3 linked regions of the Diceros bicornis minor genome follow. The protein of the gene in region 3 interacts with the protein of the main gene of each other region in a biochemical or structural test. Links are inferred from orthologs where the notes say so. Each region holds a gene or a part of one and is shown on either strand. Other genes may lie near its edges. The genes, in order: FGR, FNBP4 and KHDRBS1.

Evidence for each region.
Region 1: of the proteins of KHDRBS1 (region 3) and FGR, one has a biochemical effect on the other in vitro, tested with the Homo sapiens proteins (2 studies listed by BioGRID, with this or other methods). The link is inferred for Diceros bicornis minor from reciprocal best matches to the Homo sapiens genes KHDRBS1 and FGR.
Region 2: the proteins of KHDRBS1 (region 3) and FNBP4 form a complex in vitro, tested with the Homo sapiens proteins (2 studies listed by BioGRID and IntAct, with this or other methods). The link is inferred for Diceros bicornis minor from reciprocal best matches to the Homo sapiens genes KHDRBS1 and FNBP4.

What each region holds. Positions count from the first base shown.
Region 1 is NC_080752.1:43,194,785-43,202,025, reverse strand, and holds the start of FGR (tyrosine-protein kinase Fgr), read left to right. Parts: upstream 1-2,530; 5' UTR 2,531-2,712; intron 2,713-2,810; exon of another isoform or gene 2,811-2,904; intron 2,905-7,241. UniProt on the Homo sapiens protein: Non-receptor tyrosine-protein kinase that transmits signals from cell surface receptors devoid of kinase activity and contributes to the regulation of immune responses, including neutrophil, monocyte, macrophage and mast cell functions, cytoskeleton remodeling in response to extracellular stimuli, phagocytosis, cell adhesion and migration.
Region 2 is NC_080770.1:22,740,572-22,747,812, forward strand, and holds the start of FNBP4 (formin-binding protein 4), read left to right. Parts: upstream 1-3,020; 5' UTR 3,021-3,054; coding exon 3,055-3,274; intron 3,275-4,224; coding exon 4,225-4,317; intron 4,318-7,241.
Region 3 is NC_080752.1:46,853,508-46,860,748, forward strand, and holds the start of KHDRBS1 (KH domain-containing, RNA-binding, signal transduction-associated protein 1), read left to right. Parts: upstream 1-3,021; 5' UTR 3,022-3,279; coding exon 3,280-3,661; intron 3,662-7,241. UniProt on the Homo sapiens protein: Recruited and tyrosine phosphorylated by several receptor systems, for example the T-cell, leptin and insulin receptors. Once phosphorylated, functions as an adapter protein in signal transduction cascades by binding to SH2 and SH3 domain-containing proteins.

The sequences.
Region 1 (7,241 bases), about 3.7 Mb from region 3:
AGGGAAGGCTCAAGGTTTGATTGAATGAACAAAATCAAACTTATGTGGCACTTACCATGTGCCAAGCACTAGTCTAACAGCTCATTGATTTCTCCCAAGACTCCTGTGGGGTGGGGGGAGGGGGGGGGTCTACTATTATCCCCATTTTACAGATGAGAAAACTGAGGCACAGAAAGGTAAAATAGTTTGTCCAAGGTGACGGAGCTAGGAAGAGGTCTACAAACCAGGCAGTCTAGGCCCAGAGTCTGTTCCTAACCACCAGATTATTCAGAATGGGTAAGTGAGAGTCATAGACTCTTTGTCCTGAGTGACGCCAGGTGTCTCTTGAGGTCAGACCCCTGATCTGGTCAAGAGAGATCCAGAGACAACAAACAATGAACTGAGAAATACACAATTCTAGATTGTGACAACTGCCATGAAGGAGACAAACTGGGTGCTGAGACCAAGATTGAGGGGACTTCCTTTGATGGGGTTGTCAGGGAAGGCTTCTCTGAGGAGGCAGCACTTTAGGTAAAAGAAGAAAGGAGCCAGTACTGTGAAGAGTAATGAGAAGAGCATCATAGGAAGAGAGAAGAGTGCGTGAGAAGACTATGAGACAAAAACTCAGTGTCTTCTAGGAACTGAAAAAGATTCCAGTGCAGGTGAAGAGGAAGATAGCCCCAGATAGGACTGGAGAGGTGGGCAGGGGCCAGGCACACAAGGCCTGGGATGCCATGACAAGGCATTTGGATTTTATTCTTCCCTATTATTATCTTATTTTATTTATTTTTATTATTCCAAGTGAAATGGGAGGTGAGCCAATAGACAGTTTTAAGCAAGGAATTTATGTGGTCCAATTTGTATTTTAAAAGCAGAAGCAGTGTTGTTCTTTCATTCATTTGCTTATTCAGTCATTGATTCTTGAATGTCTTCATTCATTCTTTAATTCTTACCTTCAATTATTTATTTTTTCATTGGGCTTTCATCTGTTCACCTGTTAATTCCTTTGTTCCTTGATGGATTCATGCATTCCTATGCCCAGAGAACCAGCTTCTCTGTGCCAGACACTGTGTGGGCACTGGGGGCATTGACAAGAACCAGACCTAGTTCTTGCCATTGAGGAAAATGTATCTCACACGCCCACACCCCAGGAACCAGGAAGAAGGTGCTGAGTGCTCTGCTGGGGATGGCGGTGCCAATCAGGGAAGGCTTCCTGAAGAGCCAGACCTTGAAGGATGACAGAAAGAAACTGATAGATTGAGGGGTCCCCCAGGGGCAGGCACCAGTCTCTTTCATATCTGTGTTCCCTAAGCCTGGCGCCTGACTGGCAGTGACAAATGTTTGTTTGTCAGTTGAACATGCAGACCAACGGCCGCTCAAGGGCTGCCTGATGGTGGAGGTGCTGGTGCCCAGCCAGAGGGAGACCACACTTCCCAAGTCCTTGCTCCTCCGCCTCACCCCCTGTGTCTTCCTCCCCATCCCTCCTCCCATTTTTCTAAGCGAAAAGCGTTCTTATCTGCATCCCACCGTTCTCTGCCATCCCACAATCACATTGGGACACACCTGAGCACACACACAGGCATTCACACACATCCCTGCTCATACATAGAAACACTTGAGCCTGCACAATGTGTCCCAGTTGTTGATTCCAAAATTGCAGTCATCGAGTTCATTGCCTACAATCACACACACACACACACGTCTGTGCTTACACACTCTCCATGCCTCCCTGCCGTATTCCAACACACATACTTCTCCACCAAACAGCCCTTGCACACGCATCTCTTCCTCCCCAGACAGGAGGAATTTTCCTGGTCCTTGGTTTAAGGCAGAAGCAGTAACAATGGCGGGAGGGGGTGTTGAATGCCAGGTTGAGGGGGGTCAGGGATCCCTGCTAGTTGGAAAGGCTGGAACTGTGATAGAGGATGATACTCAGTTTTTCTAAAACTTGGGTGTGTGTGGGAGGCTGACACCCTCCCCCTCCTTCAGTGTGGCCTGAGGGCTGATTCCTCTGAAAAGCAGTTTCCTAAGAGAGGGGTCTCCTGCTGCTCCCCACTGTCCATCATGCCCTGTCCCCAGTGCCCAGCCCCTGCGGATGGCAAGGCTTGGTGACTGGATCTGCAGTGGCTCTGGTGACAAGAGTCTGGGGTCAACCAACTGTGAGAACTTGGGTAAGGCTTGTCCCCATCTGGTCCTCAGTTTTCCCAGCTGCAAAAGGGGGGAGTGGGCTTCAGCAATAAAGAAAAGCCCCTCTTAACCTCAAATGCAATGATTCTAAATGAGAAGGTGCTTTTGAGAGTGAGGAACTTGCCCCCTTGTTGGGGGCCTTTGAGAAGGCTGTGCTGGGGGTTGAGGTCTGGGGGGTGGAGCTGGGGTGCAGGGAGAGGGCTGGGAGAGCCGACCCCCAGTAACCCGGGGGAGGCGGGAAGTGGGGGCGGGAGGGCCTGGAATTTGAGGGCCCCTCCCCGCCGCAGGCAGCTGGCTTGGGGCTGGGGCGTGACTGCGAGTTCTCCCCACCGCCGCCGCCGCCGCCGCCGCCGCCGCCGCCACCGCCGCTACTGCGGCTGCAATAAGAGAAGTCCAAGGCGGCTTCCTCCTCCCTGCCCTGAGGGGGCGGCGGTCAGAGGCGGGCAGCACCCCACTTCCCCCCACCCCACGTCGCCACTCGTGGCTGCTGGGAGCCCCGGCTGGCTCGTCCTGGGATCCATCAGGAGCGGCCTGCCCTGGGACCAGGTAGGCGGCCGTCAGGTGGGCTGGAGGAGCCGCGCGGTGCCCCGCCCCCGGCCCGCCCGCGGCCCCTGGGGGAGGGCTGGGGGGAGTCAGTCTGAACTTGGCGGGGAGAGCTGAGGGAGTCGAGGGTCAAAGCGGCCTCATCCCTAAAAGGACCTAAGGAGGAAAACTGAGAAGACCTGCAGAGTGAGACTGGTAAAATTTGGGGAGGGGGCTGAGGGAACATGGGGAAAGCAGACTAAAGGGATCCCCCAAAAAGCTCTGGTGGGGAAAACGGAGGGAAACCTGTAGAGTAAGATTGATAGAATTTGGGAAGGGGGCTGAGTCGGGGGAGAGAGACTAAGGGGACCCCCCCCAAAGGGGTTGGAGGAGAAATTGAGGGGACGTTGAAAGTGAGGATTTGGGGAGAAACTGAGGGCTCTGGAAGAGGGTAACTAGGTGGGGGGACTAGGAGGGTCAGGTGAGGAGGTCTCCCAAAGGGAGTCAAGGAGAACCATTTCTGGACGATGCAGAACGTGGGGCGCGATTCTGGGGGTCCTGGAAGTCTCCCTATCCCAAATCGGCAGAAATCAGGGGTGAAGCCAGTAGCGGGGATGCAGCTCCCTAGACCCTCCCGCCCCCTCACTGGTGGGCTGGTCCCGGATGGCGAGGGGACTCCTTCAAGGCGCTAAAGGCATGGTTCCCCGCTTCCTGGGGAAGACCCCGCCCTCAGCAGGGATGGGCCTCTCTGGGTGCCCCCTCTCCGCCCGCGGTGGCGGTCTCGGTCCACGTTCCCCTCGGGATCCGGGAATTGCTGGCCGCCCCGACGGAAATCCTGCCTTTGACCGCGATTGCCGGGAGGGGCTGTCTCCATGGCAACAAGAGGGCGGAGAGGCAGAACCCCGCGCTTGGCTGCAGTTGGGCGCATTGCCGGCGCAACCCATTTGGGTCCCAACCCCGCCCCCATTTGCGGTCCTTTGTTGGGGGCGGCTGCCCCACAGAAAAATAAGGCGATGATGCTCAGTGTTCAGGGATCCTGGGGTGGGGAATATGCAATCTCAGGGACTTAGCCAGACTGGCGCCTTGATTGCTGTGTGAGTTTAGGCAAGTATGGGGCTTCTCTGGGCCTCATTTTCCCCATTTGAATCATGGGGGGAAATGATCTCTGCCCCTGCCCAGCCCCCACGCCCCACCCCATCCCTAGTCAGGAGAATCAGGCAGAAAGCAGTTTTTGCCGAGTGTCCTGGAGGGGTAAAGTGTTCTCACTGACCAGGGAGCCTCTCCTTCACCTTCCGGAAAGCAGGTAGGGGCACCACAAAGCCTGACAGGACCTCCTGGGACCAGTGCACAGTTGATATCTAATAAATAAATAAATGTTTGTGGATATATTGAGGGCCCATCCTGGGAAAGTCAGCAGGTTTTAGATCTGTCCCCAGCCCCCACGGTGCCACACCCAGTGATCCCTGAGTCTTTTGGCATCCTTCCCTCTGTGGTGGTGGTGGGAGAGCAGAGCTCTGTTCCCACTTCACAGATGGGAAGATGGAGAGTCACTGACAGGGCAGGCAGTAGGGACTTGGAGTCCAGGGCATCTTGTCCGTGATGTGGTGAGGAAGGTAGCCAGAGCTGAGGCCTTAGTTCTCTCCTCATCCCTACCAAACCCCTTGTAGCTCTCTGGGAGGGGAGAGAGTGAGAGAGAAGGTATGGAGTTCATGTCATGGGCTTCATGCTGGCTCCTGCTCCATGGTGGGCATGGAGCTGTGAGTGAGGGTGTGAGTGTTTGTGAGTATGGTTCGGGCTTTGAGTGAAGGAGCATGAGCGTGTGAGCATATGTGTGGGTGTTCAGGTGTTCTCTGCAGCCACCTGGGGCTGATGTAGCAAAGGAAGTGGCCAGACCTTGAGAGGCTTGGTAGGGGGACCCCAGAGCTGGGGAAGAAGGAGACAGAGCCCTTTCTGCACAGAGCAGACCAGGCTGGCCTATGATGGGCCCCGGGGAGGGGGCTTCCTGTCTGGCCACACTGTGGAATCTAGACTCCTGTTCTCTCAGCTCTCCCTGGACCACCCATGGCTCCCATCTCCCAAGAGTCTTGAATCCCTAAAGACCTCTGTTTTAGAGGCTGGTGGGTGAGTTTTCAGCAACAGATGAGAAACCACTTTTACCTATAAGAAGTGGAGAAAATTCAGCTGACACTCCCAGACCATGTGGAAGGTAAAGCCAGTGTGGCATGGATAGGCCACCTCTCCCCCCCTTTCTTCCTCCCCTCTGCCCTCAACACACCTGGCCCCACCAGTGTGGTAGAGTCAGACTGGGGTATGTCTTCTTAGCCCCTGGGTGTTCAGGGGTAGGAGGTTGGAAGGCTTCAAGAAAGGATGGTGTGCGATGATTGGAGGTTCAGTGAGAAGTAGGGGCTTCAGTGAAGGAGATGAGGGCTCAGTAAGGGCACTGGAGTTCAGTGAGGTGCAGAGTCTCTGAGAGTGAGGGATGGAAGCCTTCAGTCAGGAAAGTCAGGTCTTGGTGAGGGATGGGTGCAATTGGGCTGAGACTTGTGCCCTGCCCCTGGCCAGCCCAGAGCCCTGAGGAGAAGCCGGAACTCTTGCAGGATGGTGGTTTCCTGCCACTGCCCAAAGTCCCAGTTCCCTTTTGGTGAAATCCCCCAGGTGGCTGGGCCAGCTCAGCCCTCCCACCTCACCCTGGGAACTTCTCTTTCTTCTCAGCCCTGCCACTCCCCCTCCCTTGGCCTTGGAGGGGCCTTCCTCAAGGGAAAGGAGCAGAACTGAAAGTTCACTGAGCACCTACTCTATGCCAGGTGCTTTCAGGGGCTTGACCGCGTTAGATACTCAGAAGCAACCCTATGAGGTAGAGATTTATATTCTTATTTTCTAGGCAAAGGAACTACAGCTCAGAGAGGTGAACTCATTTGCCCAATGTCTCAAGCTAGTTGTCAGGCCAGGTAGAATTTGAGCCTAAATCTCCAGATCCCACAGATATTTGGCAGGGGTTGCAGGGAACAAGACATCCTGTGTGTACATCAAAGCCCTGACATGGCTTTGGGAAGTGTGGACCTCAAGAAAGGATGGGTGGGCCTGGGGATCCTGTGTCCAGGAGTAGGGGTGTGCAGGAGGCAGGCTACCTGCTGAGTGGCCCGCTGCCATATGGCAGGAGTGGTATGTTCACTTGGTCAGGGACTGAGTAGGAAATATGACGTTCACCAGTCAGGGACAGCATGACCTCCTGCTCAGGCTGTGGGGAACACAGCCACAGTGCCAGGAACAGAACTCTGGACCTGAGTTAATAGTCCTGGCTTTGAGTCCCCTGTCTGGCTATTTGACCTGGAGCAAGCCAGTTCCCCCTATACGCAAGAAGAGGATGGACTGATAAGTGGTCCCTGGGGGCCAGTCTAGCTTTGCTGCTTGTGGTTCTCAGCCTCACTCGGCCACTGCACCCTGGGCAAGAGCCACGTCTCTTCAAATCTTCCCAACAACTGCACAGAAGGTACAGATGCCAAAACTGAGGCTCGGAGGGCTTATGTCATTCATCCAAAGTCCCAGAGCTAATACTATAGAGCTCGGTAGGGCCACACAGAGGGAGAAGTCGAAGGCAGGAGCACCATGGTCCAGCGTTGGACCTCAGCTCTGACACCCACAACCTGATTTTGACCCAGCTGAGGCTCTGGAAGTTGACTCCTATCAGCCGGATGTTTAAGAGGCATAGTCATAAACAGACCTGAGTGCCTACAGTGACAAGGATGCCTGTGGCCACTCTTGGAGCTGCCTCCTTTCTGGCGTTAGCAGGCAGCCAAGTTCAGCACTGAGAAAAAAGACCTGGATTCAGATTTGAGGGCTATGATAATCAGTGGTTGCCTGAGAGAACCTGGGCAGGTCACTTCCCCTCTCTGGGCTGTAATGAGGACTTAGAGCATGTAGCACAGGGCTTGGCACACTGTAGTGCTCATTAAGAGACACACATCTTGCTTCTACCAGGACGACAAAATAGAACAGTGCTTATGGTGGGCTTTGGAGCCAAATTGGTGGGGGTTGCCTTTTAGGTTTCCCTGACTCACTATGTAGTCTTGGGGAAATTACTTAACATCTCTGCGACTCTGTTTCCTTATCTGTAAAATAGGGGTAATCATAAAACTTAGCTCATAGGGTCGCTAAATGAGATCATGTAAGGGAATTGCTTGGCACAATGCCAGGCACTGAGTAGATGCTTAATAAATTAGCATTTTTAAACTAATAGTTACTGCCACCTAGTTTTCTAGGAAGTCAAATTGCTCTCTGAAGAATTACTGGCACTAGTTGTGATCCGAGCTAGGTGAGGAGGAAGAGTCTTGGTGGCTATTTTCAGGCAGGTGCTTGAACAGAGTGGACCCAACCTGCTCCCTCTTTCTGTCTCTTTAGTTCTCGATCTGTCTCTGGCATTCTCTTCATCTCTGCCTGTCTCATTTTCTGTCTCTGTCTCTCTGTTGCTCTGTGTCTCTACTTCCCATGTCTGTCTCTGTCTCTCTCTTTTTGTTTCTTTCTGGCAGCGATGTGCTGGAGCCAGCTAGGACTGG
Region 2 (7,241 bases), on a different chromosome or scaffold from region 3:
ACTGCTTTAATGGTCTCCAGGTGGTTCTATGAACAGCCAGAGTTGAGAACCCTGGATATAAACATAACAGTCACCTCCAGAAATTTAAGTTTCCCCCAAGGAAAACAGTCTTTCACATTTCTAGGCATTGTGGTTTAGCTCATAATGTCAACTTGGTTCCAGTCAGCTTTATAACAGCATCTGGACTTTTGTGTAAACAAAAGTTTCATTCATAGTAATAATAGTTGGGCCAGCCCCGTGGCTTAGTGGTTAAGTGCGTGCGCTCCGCTGCTGGCAGCCCGGGTTCGGATCCCAGGCGGCACCGACGCACCCCTTCTCTGGCCGTGCTGTGGCCACATCCCACATACAGCAACTAGAAGGATGTGCAGCTATGACATACAACTATCTACTGGGGCTTTCGGGGAAAAATAAATAAATAAAATTATAAAAAAAAAAAAAGTAATAATAGCTACCATATAATGATTGCTCATTTTGTTCCTGGTGCAATGCAAAGAGCTTAAAACTTGATCTAATTTAAACTTCACAACAACCCTGTGAATACTGTTACTAACACATTTTACAGTTGCAGAAACAATTTTAGGGATGCTAAGAAACTTCTCCAAGCAATCATATCTGGAAGGTGTTGGAGCTGGGTTTTGAATCCAGATGTTTGATGCACAGCTGTATCCTAAGCACAGCTACCATATTTCAATGCCGCTCCCTTCAAGAAATAAATCTGAAAATTGCTAATGGCTTCCAAATAGCAAATTGTCCCTCCCCTTCGAGCTGTTAATTTTTCAGAAATCTTAGGAGTCTAATCTCAGGACATAATCCAGGTATTCCTCCCATAGGAAAGACAAGGAAAGAACTCTTGCTACTTATTTCAAGTTTGTATATATTCATACACTATATTCATTTAAAAACTCTGGGTGATACTGAACCACTTATTCTCAAGTTCTTGTGCCCAATGTGCAGTAGACCAATCACTGAGCCGTTGGTGGTTGGAGATGGAAAAAGGCTTTATTGGAACTGGCCAAAACAGGAAGGCGGGAGGATGGGTTCTCTCAAATCCACCTTAACAAGAGAAGAAAGCAGGGGGGTGGTTTGTAGAGCTAAGGGGCTTGGCACAAGGAGTTCCAGAGAAACACCTTTCACTCCAGAGAAGCCCTTGGGCAATCTGACTTCTGGCCATCAAAGGCAGCTGGGGGCTGGTCATCTGGGGATCAGCGATCACAACCTCCCCAAAGGCATTCTTTTTCTTCTGCAAAACAAGTGCACAAATCCTCCAGACCCCTAAGTCACCCCTCAGGTTAAACAAGAAAACAGCAATTTGACAAAATTCATCTACGTCTATGTTGGGAAGATGGTCGAAAGGCAATCAAATTCTTTTTTTTTGGTGAGGAGGACTAGTCCTGAGCTAACACCGATGCCAATCCTCCCCTTGTTTTCTTGAGCAAGAGTGGCCCTCAGCCAACATCTGTGCCCATCTTCCTCTACTTCATAGGGGACGCCACCACAGCGTGGCTTACCAAGCAGTGCGTGGGTATGCGCCTGAGATCCGAACCTGCGAACGCCGGGCCGCCACAGCAGAGCGCGCACACTTAACCCCTTGCGCCACCGGGCTGGCCCTGGCAATCATGTTCTTGTTGAGTATCTACAGTGACCCTCAGGTACCCAGCTTCAAGTGCTTATGTTTCAGAAAATGCATTTGATATACAGGGAACAAAGCAGACAAGTCTCTGCTTTCACGGCTTTTGTATCCAACAACCAATTTGAGGGCTCATCTATAAATTAGGGATAATATCTATCTTACAAGGTTGTTGTAAGAATCAAATGCAATTTTACATGTAAAGCGTTAAGACAGTGCCTGACACACAGTAAGTGCTCAATAAATGTTAGACATTATTAGTATGCTCTAGTAAGAACTGAATTAGACACTGGGGATATAAATACACTGAATTTCTTCCTCTTCCTTTTTTTTTTTCAAGTATAGTTGACATACAGCATCATATTAGTTTCAAGTGTACAATATAGTGATTTCACATTTATTTACATTATAAAATGATCACCCTGATAAGACTAATAACCATCCGTCATCACAACAAGTTATTACAATATTGTTGACTCCCACTGGATTTTTTCTTAAGCTCAAGGGCTGGGGTGGGGCTTGGCATTGAGATATTAGGTTCAGAAAGTAATGACTGCACCGGGTCTTGAGGAATGAGAATTATTTCGCCACGTGATGCAGTAGTTATTTCAGCTAATGTGAAGGACTGAAGACGGGAGATGATGCTCCACGTGGCCGGCTCCAGAGGTGAGATGAGGGGAGCAGGGCAGGGGAGACTGCTAAAAGAAGATAAATCTAATAAAGCAGGCTGGGGATACCAGAGGGCCAGATCGGGAAGGCTCTTGTATCCCCTCGCAACAACTTAGGCTTTTTCCTCATATGCAGTATAATGTCTAGTGATTTTTTTCCAGCTGATAAGCAGCATAATACGAGACATCATCTTTGTGCTCTAAGAAAAAATCTGCAAACGCATAAAAGACCCACTATTCTATTTAATATACAGTGTTATACCCAAAGTAAGGCACAATAACCAGGGCGAAGCTTGCGGAAGAGCCGGGAAAGCAGCGCAGCAACCAAGAAGCCAAACAACAATGAAGAGTTAGCCGAGAACAGACACAAGATGGACGACAAGGAGATAAAGAGAAGACTCCGCAAAAAACGCATGGGTGGAGCCCGAGGTAACGAGGGGCCATTCTATACTGAGGCCCTTCCGCACTACTGGCTTGCGTCTCATTCTTTTTCCTATTCCATTGGCTACTGGCTCCTTCCATGGGTCAAAATAGCCAATCGCCTAGCGCCGTAGGTAAAGCCCGCCCTTCTCCTTCGGGGGGAGGAGCCAGAAGAGCGTAGGGGGCTCAAGGCGCTTGCGCGGACGCGCGCTCGGCCGGTCAAAAGCGGATGGTCGCTGGAGGCGGTGTTGCGGCGCATGAATATTGATTACGCAGCGCCGTGCCGAGCGCCCGCCCCTCTCGGCTGCCCGACGCTCGCGGCTCGCGCTCGGGCTCGCGATGGGGAAGAAGTCCCGGGCGGTACCCGGCCGCAGGCCCATCCTGCAGCTCTCTCCGCCGGGTCCCCGGAGCAGCACGCCGGGCCGGGACCCGGAGCCGGAACCCGACACCGAGCCGGACTCGACGGCGGCGGCGTCCAGCCAGCCAGCCCCGGCGGCGCCGGCGACCACGACGACCGCGGTGACTGCCGCCGCGGCCCCAGACGACTCGCCTTCAGAAGGTGAGGGTGTGCCAGAGGCCCCGGCCGCTAGTGGGGCGGCCGAAACTCGAACTCGGGGCTTGCGGCCTAGGCCTCGCGGGCCGGCCCTGGGAGGAAGAGAAGCCCGGGCGGGGCGGCGTCCGCGCCCGTGGCCTGCTGCGCGGGGCCTGCGGGACGACGGCTGTGGGCCCCAGGGCGGCGGAAGGGGCCGCGGAGCCGTGTGCGCCGCCGCGAGCGACCCTGAGGTGCCGCCATCTCTGCTGCAGGAGTTGCCCGAGTCTCCTGGTCTCCTTTGCGTCCGCGCGCGCCTTGGGGTAACTTAGGGGTGCGTGTGACGGGCTGAGCTTCCGCGTCCGAGGCTTGGTGACAGAGGACCCTGGCCCTTTCTACACGTCACCTGCTCTTCCTTTCGTTTTTGTCGAAACTGAAAGAGACCCTTTAGAAATGAGTGGACTCTTGATTATGCCAGCCAGAGCATAAGGAGCCCCAAATGGGCAGGTGTCCCCGAGATTCCTGGAGAAGTGGAGCTCGTGGGGTCCCGAGTCCTTGTGTGTTTCTCCGCGGAATGGTCCTTGCGTTAAGAGTAACTATTCATCGCTGCGACCATTTCTGATAAAAAAAACAAACCACGTTGGGTAGCTGTTGCGGGGAAAAATGCTCCAGCCCTGCCTGTTGTCAAGGCCCGATGGCAGCCTGGAGCTTTCGTGTGTGTATTTTTTTTTTTTTTTGAATTATTTCAGATGGAATTTTTATATGCGCTGTTCAGGTTCTTAAAGTCCCTAACGAAATGGAAGATTCCAGCTACTTGTTTATCATTTCCCAATTATTTGGGTCACTGATGGATTATACACCCTGTTTTTCAATCGATGGCATCTAAACTTGAAAGGTCAAATCAAGGATTGTTTTGTCACCTGTAGTGTTGTCTCGGGTCCATCGTCTGACGGTAGTTTTTTTCTGTTCGTTAAATCCAGATGAACAGGAGGTGGTGGTGGAGATTCCCAGAGTTGTTCAGAATCCTCCAAAACCAGTCATGACCACCAGACCCACAGCCGTCAAAGCAACAGGTATAGCTTGTTTTGTTTTTTGCATCTTTTCTCCAATATTTAGGTTTGTATATAGAGTGCTTTTGTCGAATGCTTCAGTGTTGCTGATTCATATTTGGAATATAAATAAATTTCGTTATATTTTATTTATTTATTTTTTAATAATTTTATTTATTTATTTTTCCCCCCAAAGCCCCAGTAGATAGTTGTGTGTCATAGCTGCACATCCTTCTAGTTGCTGCATGTGGGACGCGGCCTCAGCATGGCTGGAGAAGCGGTGCGTCGGTGCGCGCCCGGGATCCGAACCCCAGGCCGCCAGCAGCGGAGCGCGCACACTTAACCGCTAAGCCACGGGGCCGGCCCATTTGTTATATTTTAAATGGAGATTTAAAATCTTTCTGTTTGTGAGGGCTTGTTAGTACACACACTTTGACCAGTGTAAAATTTGTGGTTGCTTTTTCTCTGTACCCAGTGCACTTTGTACTGTCTTTTCTTGTAATGCTATTTTATAACTAGTTTTCTGGCTCCTCAGCTAGCTTGCTTTCTTTAGGGACACGAGCGATGTCTTCTTATTCCATTTCTTTTCTAACACACTGCTTTGATTATTACTTGGCAAATGTTTGTGGAGCAGAATATTGCTCTTATTAAATATTTTTTTAAGCATGGAGGAATATTGTCAGTAGTGGTGTTATAGACAAAGCTGGCTTCAAATCACCACTCTAGCATTCACTCTTAAGACCTCGGGACTTCATTCATCTGTAAAATGGGTTTTACAGCCCTACGTTATTTTGAAGATTAAATTGAATAGTGTATGCAACGTTCTGACACAGCGAGTCCAAGAATGTTAGTTTTCTCTACTCTTTAAAGATTTTGAAAGATTAAAATATGTTTTGATACAAATATTCTGTAATTGGTAGTGATTTTATTCTATTTAGTTTGGAGTACTTTTATACTACATGACACCTGAAATAGTAAATGCTTGTTCTCCCCTCCTTCAATTTGCTGCTTAAAAAAACAAAACAGAGGGGCCGGACCGGTGGCGCAAGCGGTTAAGCGCGCGCGCTCCGCTGCGGCGGCCCGGGGTTCGCTGGTTCGGATCCCGGGCGCGCACCGACGCACTGCTTGGTAAGCCATGCTGTGGCGGCGTCCCATATAAAGTGGAGGAAGATAGGCACAGATGTTAGCCCAGGGCCGTCTTCCTCAGCAAAAAAAGAGGAGGATTGGCGGATGTTAGCTCAGGGCTGATCTCCTCACAAAAAAAAAAAAAAAAAAAAAAAACCAGAACAAAAACACCAGTGTGGGTTAGAAAAGCTAAAACTTGGTTGTGAGAGAAATTTCAGAATGAGAAAATACCGTTTTCTATTTGTAAACGACATATATTATTTCATTAAACTCTTCTAAGAATCCTGTAAGATGGGTAGAATTTAAATGTTCCTTGGAGAAATTTCCATGATTGCCATGTCGTTGAGTGCTTCAGGCCTTTATGTGCCTTGTGAACAGAATGTTTTTATTCTGTTTAACTTCATCCTGCAACAGAACAATGTATTGGCTTTATTCAGTTCTTACCTGCCACTTGGTATAATAGATAAGAAAACGTGTCAAATAAAAATCAAAGGGAAACAATTTTCCATTATTTGCATATTTGGGTAACTGTTAGAGTAGATACTCTAGAATTGACTGTTTTTTTCTTTTCTTCTTTCTTTTTTGGTGAGGAAGATTGGCCCTGAGTTAACATCTGTTGCCAGTCTTCCTCTTTTTGCTTGAGAAAGATTGTCCCTGAGCTAACATTTGTGCCAGTCTTCTTCTATTTTTTGTATGTGAGATGCCGCCACAACATGGCTTGACGAGCGGGGCATAGATCCACACCTGGGATCTGAACCCGCAAACCCTGGGCCGCCAAAGCAGAGGGCGTGAACTTAACCATTACACCACTAGGCTGGCCCTTATTTTTTTAAGATGATTTTAGTTAAAGGATTTTATCTTCATCACTAGAAACATGCCAGATTTCTTTCCACAAAAATGAAATAAAAGTCTTAAGTTGTTAAAGTATGCTTTTATAAATATGGTAGAGCAAGCATATTATTATGGTGAAAAATATTATGGTGTATGCATGTGAAATTATTTCAGGAAAAATTCAGAGTAAGCTATTAAATTAGGTCAATAGACGACTATGATAGTCAACAGTATTTAAGCATCTTCTAGAAAAGGGTACTTAGCTTTCCACAGATGGGTGTCAGAGGTCTCTGAATCTCCTGCAATGGCACACTAAAGTATGTTTTCCTGGGAGAGGGTCCATAGCTTTTATCTTATTGAATGTTAATTGTTTCTATGATCAAGTAACCGAAAAGATTAAAAACCACTATTCAAACAATGTTATGAGGAAATGATAGAGTTACTAGAAGTATAAGACAGTTACTGTTACTGTTGGAAGCTGATTAGGAAAGTAAGGTACATACCTAAGAAATAATTTACTGCCTAATATAATTAGTTGATTTGCAAATTGTATGGCACCATCTTTTAAGGTAAGCAAACTGAGGTTTGAGGAGTTGGCACCCCTCAAAAAAAGACTGCTAAGGACTGTGGCTCTGAAGAGTGGTCTTGCTTCCTCTGGTTTCAAGAAGCAGCATCATCTCAGTAGTAGTCTAGGGTATGGTCCTGTGAAGCTTTTGTTTATTTTTCTAAGATTAAGCAATTTTACGTAATATTGTGAACATTTATTTTCAGTGTTATTCTGAATTCATGCCTGTCCCTTATCAATGTATGGACTAAATTTTCAGAGGTGTAATTAGAATTTATATGCGTTTCATGACTTGCTTTTAATCTTTAAGATTACTTTTTTGTCTCCTTAGCTTATTTCCTATAATCCTATAATGGTCTGACTAATCATAAAATAATACTGCATCACGTACTGTGCTGTAATTTGCTTTGTCCGTTATTTGAGAGCA
Region 3 (7,241 bases):
AACTCCTGTCCAGGGCTGGAGCCCTTCTCCCAGGAACTGGCTGCAAAGCAGGAGACATAGGCAGGGCCTGCAGATCCTCCACTGGTGGAGATCACACAGGTCCAGCAGCAACAGGCAAATTTTGAGTATTCTCAGCCCGTCAGTTAGAGACTCACATGAAAGTGCAAGTCTGCAATAGGGTACTCAATAAATCTGTGTGTAGCAAGAATAACAATGGCCGCTATCGTTTATCAAGTACCCACTAACTGCCAGCCTCTGTGCTGAGTGCTTTACAGACACTATCTCTTTTAATCCTAACAGCCCTGAGCTAGGTATTGTTATGACTTCTGTTTTATCAAGGAGGAGGAAGCAGAGGCTGAGCACGGTTAAGCAATGTGCTCAATCACTCAGCAGGTAAGAGGTCTAAGAGCCAGCTTCGGACCTCACTCCATCTAAATCACTATGCTCTCAATTGCTCTTGCATCCTACACCATAGTAACTAAACTATGAGAGGAAATAGGGTAGAAGAAACTTAGTCTTTTCGGAACCTCCCCCCTCCAAAACAAAGTCAAGCTATAGTCAGTGAAAATGAGACAGATTAGAGAGCAGGCCTTGCAGATCCACACCCAACATGAAGCAACCAAAAATCTTCATTAGGCATAACTAAATGGCACAATAATAATGATTACTTCTGCTTATAAGCCCAATTGTGAGGAGGTTTACACTGGTCTTTGTCAATGTTCACAACAATTCTGCAAGGTAGATGTCAGTACGTCCACTATAAAGGCTCAGGTTGTGGTTTTCCCAATGACATACAGCAAGGACAAGGCACTGATGAATTTGAATTTGTCTGCCTCACTCCAAAGTCAGAGTCATTTCACAAGGCCATGCTGTTAATACCTTCAGGTGAACCTGGAGCAGCATACCATGGTCAACACAAAATGAACTCTACACTTTCAAGGTGGGAATTACTCTTCCCTGCCCCCGGGAAGGGCCCCCACAATGGAAAGCTGCTGCATTACTGACTTGGTAAATACATCGCAGCCTCAGCAACCCATCACCTGCCTCAGAGATTACCTTTTGTGTATCTCACCAAGAAGAAGAGCTCAAAGCTCCCCTTGACCCCACCCTCAGAGAAACTAAGCAAAAGGTTTGACAGCCATCTGGAAAGACTGCTGATTTTAGTCTAGATACCCACAGATACCACTACCCAGCTCCTTCTCAGACACTTCTTCATCAAAGTTTTATTAGCCTCAGCTCAAGGTACCTCCATCTGGGCATCTCATTACAGAGCAAGGACACTTCAGCCATTTGTAACACCACCACCCAAGCAGGATTTTCAAGGATAGCAGCAGAAATGAGTTGCAACGGAGCTATAAATCCTCCTTGCCCCCTTTCCCCTCCTCCATGCATTTGCTCTATCCACCCACCTATTTCTTCACAGTCCACAACTGGATTACGACTCCCATTCCTTACCCACGTCTCTGCTCATTTATTCACACTTCCCTTCTGCTGGAACTCATTCTCCCCTGGCCGAAATCTATCTTCCGCTTTGAGCTGCAATCGCACTTAATATTCACTTATCTTTTGGCATTTGTCACATTACATTTTTCATTCCAATTATTCAAAAACATTCTTTTTTTTTTCTCCTACTTGACTATAAACTACCTATGTGATCTTAAACTACAGTACTGCACCACACACTGGAAATACATATGTATAATACATGTGTGATAACTGATGGAGATACTTGTGTTTTGTTCTCATTTCTGTGGATGATTTCTCTCCCCCGTCCCCAAGAAGGTAGCCAGGCCTTAATGTTCTCTAGTTGAAGGCTTCTAAGTTTCAGATCCAAATATCAACAGTTTCCAGGCACCCAGAGGACAATTTCCAGAAATGCTTTTGAAAAGCCTGGGCTTATTAGAGGAACTGATCCAGAAGGAAAAGGGATGGGAGTGAGTGCTTTGAATGGGGGAAGCAAAAATCTGTGGAGGGAAGGAAGGGTTAGAGAAGGCACCAGCTCTCTTGAGCCTTTATGGGACAGTAGAGACGTAAGCTCCTTTTGCATATAGCACTCGAGGGATGAGGAGAATGCTGTGGGAGACTGTCCGCTATATACCTTGGCCTTTAGAGCAGTAGTAAGGGTCTGTCTCTTTGAGCAAGTCTGGAACGATCCATTGTGAAGGCCCAACAAAGGCAGGATTAGCACTCACATCCGTATAAAGAGCCACCCTAATGATGCAACCATCAGGGATTAAGGACCTGGTCTCTACCCCACTTTTTTGCGGAAGAAACACAAGTCAGCAGAAAGCAGTACTATACGTAAAGAGCTAAAATGCTTCATCTTTTAAGACTTCTCTGACCAACAATGGCAAATGTTTTAGAGCCTTTTATACTGGAAACCATAGGATACGACTTCTTGGGTTCCCTGCTTTGGTCTGGTGCCCTTTGCTAGATTTCAGGTCTCCTACCTGAACCTTACCTCTTAGTTCAAGTCCTGCAATAGCCTTCGGTCTTCCCACTGACCCGTCCTTCCTCACTTGCTCCTCCAAGCTTCCTTTCCCCATCTCCACCCCTCATCCCTGCGTCAGACTCTCCCTTAGTCGTCCCCTTTTCACTCCTAGTCTCCCCTGCGCCCTGTCTGTTCCTCTCCTCCTGCCTAGACGGCCTCAATTTTCTCTCCTTCCCAGGCGGGTCTCCTTTCATTTCCATACTTTAGAGACCGCCCCCCTCGCCCGACCCCCCCACCCCCCATCCCCCCATCCCCCCACTGAGCACAGCCCGGCTCGGCGGCTCAGCCGTTGGAGGGGGCGCGGCCCCGCGAGTAACAGGTCTCCCCCCCCACACTCTGCGGGCTCGCGCGCAGACAAAGACATTCCACAGCCCCCGCCCCTCCGCGCACTCGGCCAGAAGGGGGAGGAGACACGTGTCCCGCTAGCGCCGAGTCACGTGGAAAAGAAAACGAACGAAGCCCGCGGCCACCCGCGCACGCGCACAGAGCTCTGGCCTGGCGGGCTCGGAGGAAAAAGGGGAGCGGGGAGGCGACTTCTTCGGGCTCCGCGGCGGTGCGCAAGCGCTGTGGCCCGACCGGGGACTTTGTTCTCCGCGGAGAGACCCAAGGGCGGTGCCGGCGGCTGGCTGCGCACGCGCGCCGCCTCATTTCCGGTGCTCTCTTTCGCTGGGTCGGTCGGGTCGCCTTCGGTCGCCGTCGCTCCCGCTCTCCCACCCCCGCCAACCGCCGCTCGGGCCTCCGCCGCTGCCGCGTCGCTTCCTCGATCCCTCGATCGCACATCCTCCCCAATGCAGCGCCGGGACGACCCCGCCGCGCGCATGAGCCGGTCCTCGGGCCGCAGCGGCTCCATGGACCCCTCCGGTGCCCACCCCTCAGTGCGTCAGGCGCCGTCTCGGCAGCCGCCGCTGCCTCACCGGTCCCGGGGAGGCGGAGGGGGGTCCCGGGGGGGCGCCCGGGCCTCGCCCGCCACGCAGCCGCCACCGCTGCTGCCGCCCTCGGCCACGGGTCCCGACGCGACAGTGGGAGGTCCGGCGCCGACCCCGCTGCTGCCCCCCTCAGCCACTGCCTCGGTCAAGATGGAGCCGGAGAACAAGTACCTCCCCGAACTTATGGCCGAGAAGGACTCGCTGGATCCGTCCTTCACTCACGCCATGCAGTTGCTGACCGCAGGTGAGCCGGCCTCCCGGGTCCCTCTGGGTCGCCAGGCCACCCGGGGGCACGGGTGGCAGCGGCTTTGTTCCGCTCGCATCCCTCCCCCTCGGGACCAAGGCAGGCGTGAACTCCCCTTCTTCTCTCATCCTCATTCTGGGGAGCCTGGATTCCACATTCCCGTCCCGGCCCAGGGTGCGAGGGGGAGTTTCTAGGCTGCAGAGGAGGCCCGAAGGGGACTTGGCGATCTCAAAGATCTGGATGGATAGTGCTGAGCTCCCCGCCCCCTTGCCGACCCTTCCCCCTCCCACCTCTCGCAGCTGCCCCGCGCTCCTGGTGCTCAGATGCTTCCAGAAATGAGCCTTTATCACCCCCTTCCCCCCAAAGGGAAAGCTTTTTTGATCTCGGGTGGCGGAAGGCGCCCCGAGTGAGGGTGTAGGAGGTGAAGACAGCCCGAGTGAGGAGGGACGGTGGGTGGGAAAGCCGAGGTGAGGCGAGGTGAGGCTGAAGTGCCCTGTCCAGCGCGCCGCGGTCGCAGGGGCGGGTCGGACTTAGCGGTAATTGACGCTTAAGTTGCTTGGAGGCAGGAGCAACCTGTGGGAATTGGAGCTTGATGTTTTCCGAATCAGATTTCCGACTTAGGCGGATAAAATGATAATTGCTACAGAGCCGGAAGTTTGGATCACTTTATTTTACAACGTGTGTTCATCATTCAAGAAGGGGAAAAATAACCCTAGAGACAGTGAAATCGGATGGTTAGAGGGAGGTAAAGGGTGGTTTGCATTTGTATTTCCGGTGAGGTGGACAGAAATTGAAAGAAGTTGCACGATGCTTCTACCTGAAAGGCTTGGTGTTTTTAGTTTTTTTCTTTTGGCTTCGGGAGTGAAATAGATTAGGAATAGTAGTCTTTGTTCTCTGTCTGTGGGCTAGCGCTCCTTTCCTGCTCAGCACTGGCCAATCACCTAGTCGCTCTGATTTCTCCGTAAAGCCGCCTGTTTTCCTCGCACTTTTAGTTAAAACGTTTTAATAAGTATTTGTTATGATACCTAAATTTTATTAAGCAAGTAAAAATTCACAACTCTCAACACTGAATGAGTAGTTGAACTCTTTGGCAAGGTTGATATAATGGACAGATGGTTATGAAAATATCGTTTCCCTCTCTTTGTTCTCTAGCCCCCAACATTGGTAAAGGGTCTTTACTTTTAAACACAATAAACAAAGCACGCAGTGGTCAAGAATAAGAATATTTAGATAAACTGCTTACATTTTCAACTCAGGGTTTTGCTGTTCTGTAACACAGATTGTTTGAAACATTAGTGTTCATTGTGTTCTTCTGGCAAGCTCTTTGAGGGCAAGGATTGCCTTTTATCTTGGTATTTTTCTTATTGCCTTGAATATAGCAAACACCAGGTGTTTGAATCTGAAAGCAAATACATGCAGATTTAGGAATGTCAGACTAAATGGTAAAGATCGATTCGGTAGTCTAATTTTTATTTCCTCAAATCTTTAATCAGTCCAGATTAAAAGAATGAAAACAGAATAACACACCTTTGAACTTTAAGATGTCAGCTTGGGTTTTGAAATTCTGACCATTAACTAGTTACTTACTCTTAGGAAACTCTGAACCTCAGTAACCTCATCTGTAAAGTGGGATGGTGAGTTGTGAGGATTAAATGATGTTTAAAAGCACCAGCACAGTTCTCTTTGGCCTTTTGACCTATTGTCAATAGATAATAACTTGTCACCACAGTTTTCTTCTAGTTGTAAATCCCTGGTTCTGAAAAAGGTATGAAAACACAAGATATTTTTTGCCTTTCTGACCACATCAAGTGCCCAATGTGGTGTTTGTCTTTTAAGTAAAACATGGTTTCTTAGGATAACCATCAAAAACTATTGATCCTTAAAAGTTACTTATAATTCTCACGCTTCTCTCACTGCTTAACTTCTGTTACGAGAGAGTGCTGTTTAATTTTTTTAACTTGGGCTTTTTTGATGTCTTTTTTTTTAACCAAACTGAAATTTTAATTGGAGAAATGGGATTAAGGTAATGCTGGCTTATTGAGAGAACAGATTTGGAGTGTATGGATACTTCTTAGCATGGATAAGTCATGACATATATTGGACCTAGCTTTTAAGGTATTTTTGAATGATCTGGAGAAGGGGTTGCAGTGGAGTCAACCAACTGTGCGGAAGTGAGACTCTGAGAAGACAGAATAGTGGTATCTAAGCTCTGATAAGGATACATGTAATAACAATATAGCTAACATTTATTGTGCCAGGCACTGGTCTGAGCACTTTACATCAAATATTTAGTCTTCATGACAATACTATGAAGAAGTTATCTTATCCTCACTTTTACGGATGAAGAAACCAAGGCACACAGAGATTAAATAATTTGCCTAAGGTAACAAAATTAGTAAGCAGCATAACTAGGATTTGAAGTCAGTCCAAGTCTGGATCTACACACCTAACCCTCTCCATGCCCACTACAGTACCTGTAACAAATTGAACTTAAAGTATTTTGTACCAGTTGAACAAAATATTAAAAGAAAATCTATTTGAATGCATGAGAGTGCTAGCTAACAGGGCAGTGAAGATGACAAGGCGGAGATACAGAAAAAGGAGGAAACTCAGCGAGCAGAGCCTAGCACTCGGCACTGTGACTTGCCCATTTCCCAAGAGGTGCCGCAAGACCCAGATGACTCTTCCTTTACTAGCCACACAGCTCTCTCTCTCCCTTTCCCAGCTTTACTTTATTTTGCACTTATCGGCATCTGATGCACCATATATTCTAGTTATGTGTGTTTGTTGACTGCCCCTTCTCCTTCATGGCTAGAATGTCCACCAGGGCACCAGGGCAGGGATCTTTTGTCGGCTTTGTTCACTGCTGTATCTCCTGTTCCTTGAAGAGGGCCACACAGAGTGGCCTCTTACTAGATGTTTGATAAATAAATATTCTTCGTTGCATGATGGAAAACTATCAACACAATTCTGAGAGATTTAGATTTTGAATATAGACTTCTATATTAGCCAAGTTGATATTCAACTATGATGACAGTTAAATGAAGTCACAGACGTGCAAGGACTTGGGGTACCCATGCTTGTTTTATGAAACAAAAGTAATTTATTTTTTGTGTTAAATATTTATATAACACACAGAAATGCTTTTATGTATATCAGTGTTCTTTTTCTACTTTCTATAATTAGGAAAATGTAAGTTAGTATAAATGACTCAGGAATAAGTAAACGTTTTGAATAGATTAAGGTAATCTGCAGAAGATCTTGCAAGGATACTCAGAAATCCATCTTCCGAAATCCATCTTCTTTGTAAATGGAGAACATTTACAAAGTTTGTTGAAACTTCAAAATAGTTCATTGCTTTATTTTATTTACAGTATACTGTAAAAATATATCTGAATGTTCCCATTTCATTCTACAGGGCTAGCAAAACCTATTCAAAACCAGAAAGTGGAATTGCAAAGGAATTATAGACCAAATATAGGTATAAGTATTAATATTAGGAAAGGAAGAGGCAGAAGTTATCACTATTTGCAATAACTTCATGGTTGTTGACCTAGGAAAGTGGTCAGTTATGTGGCTA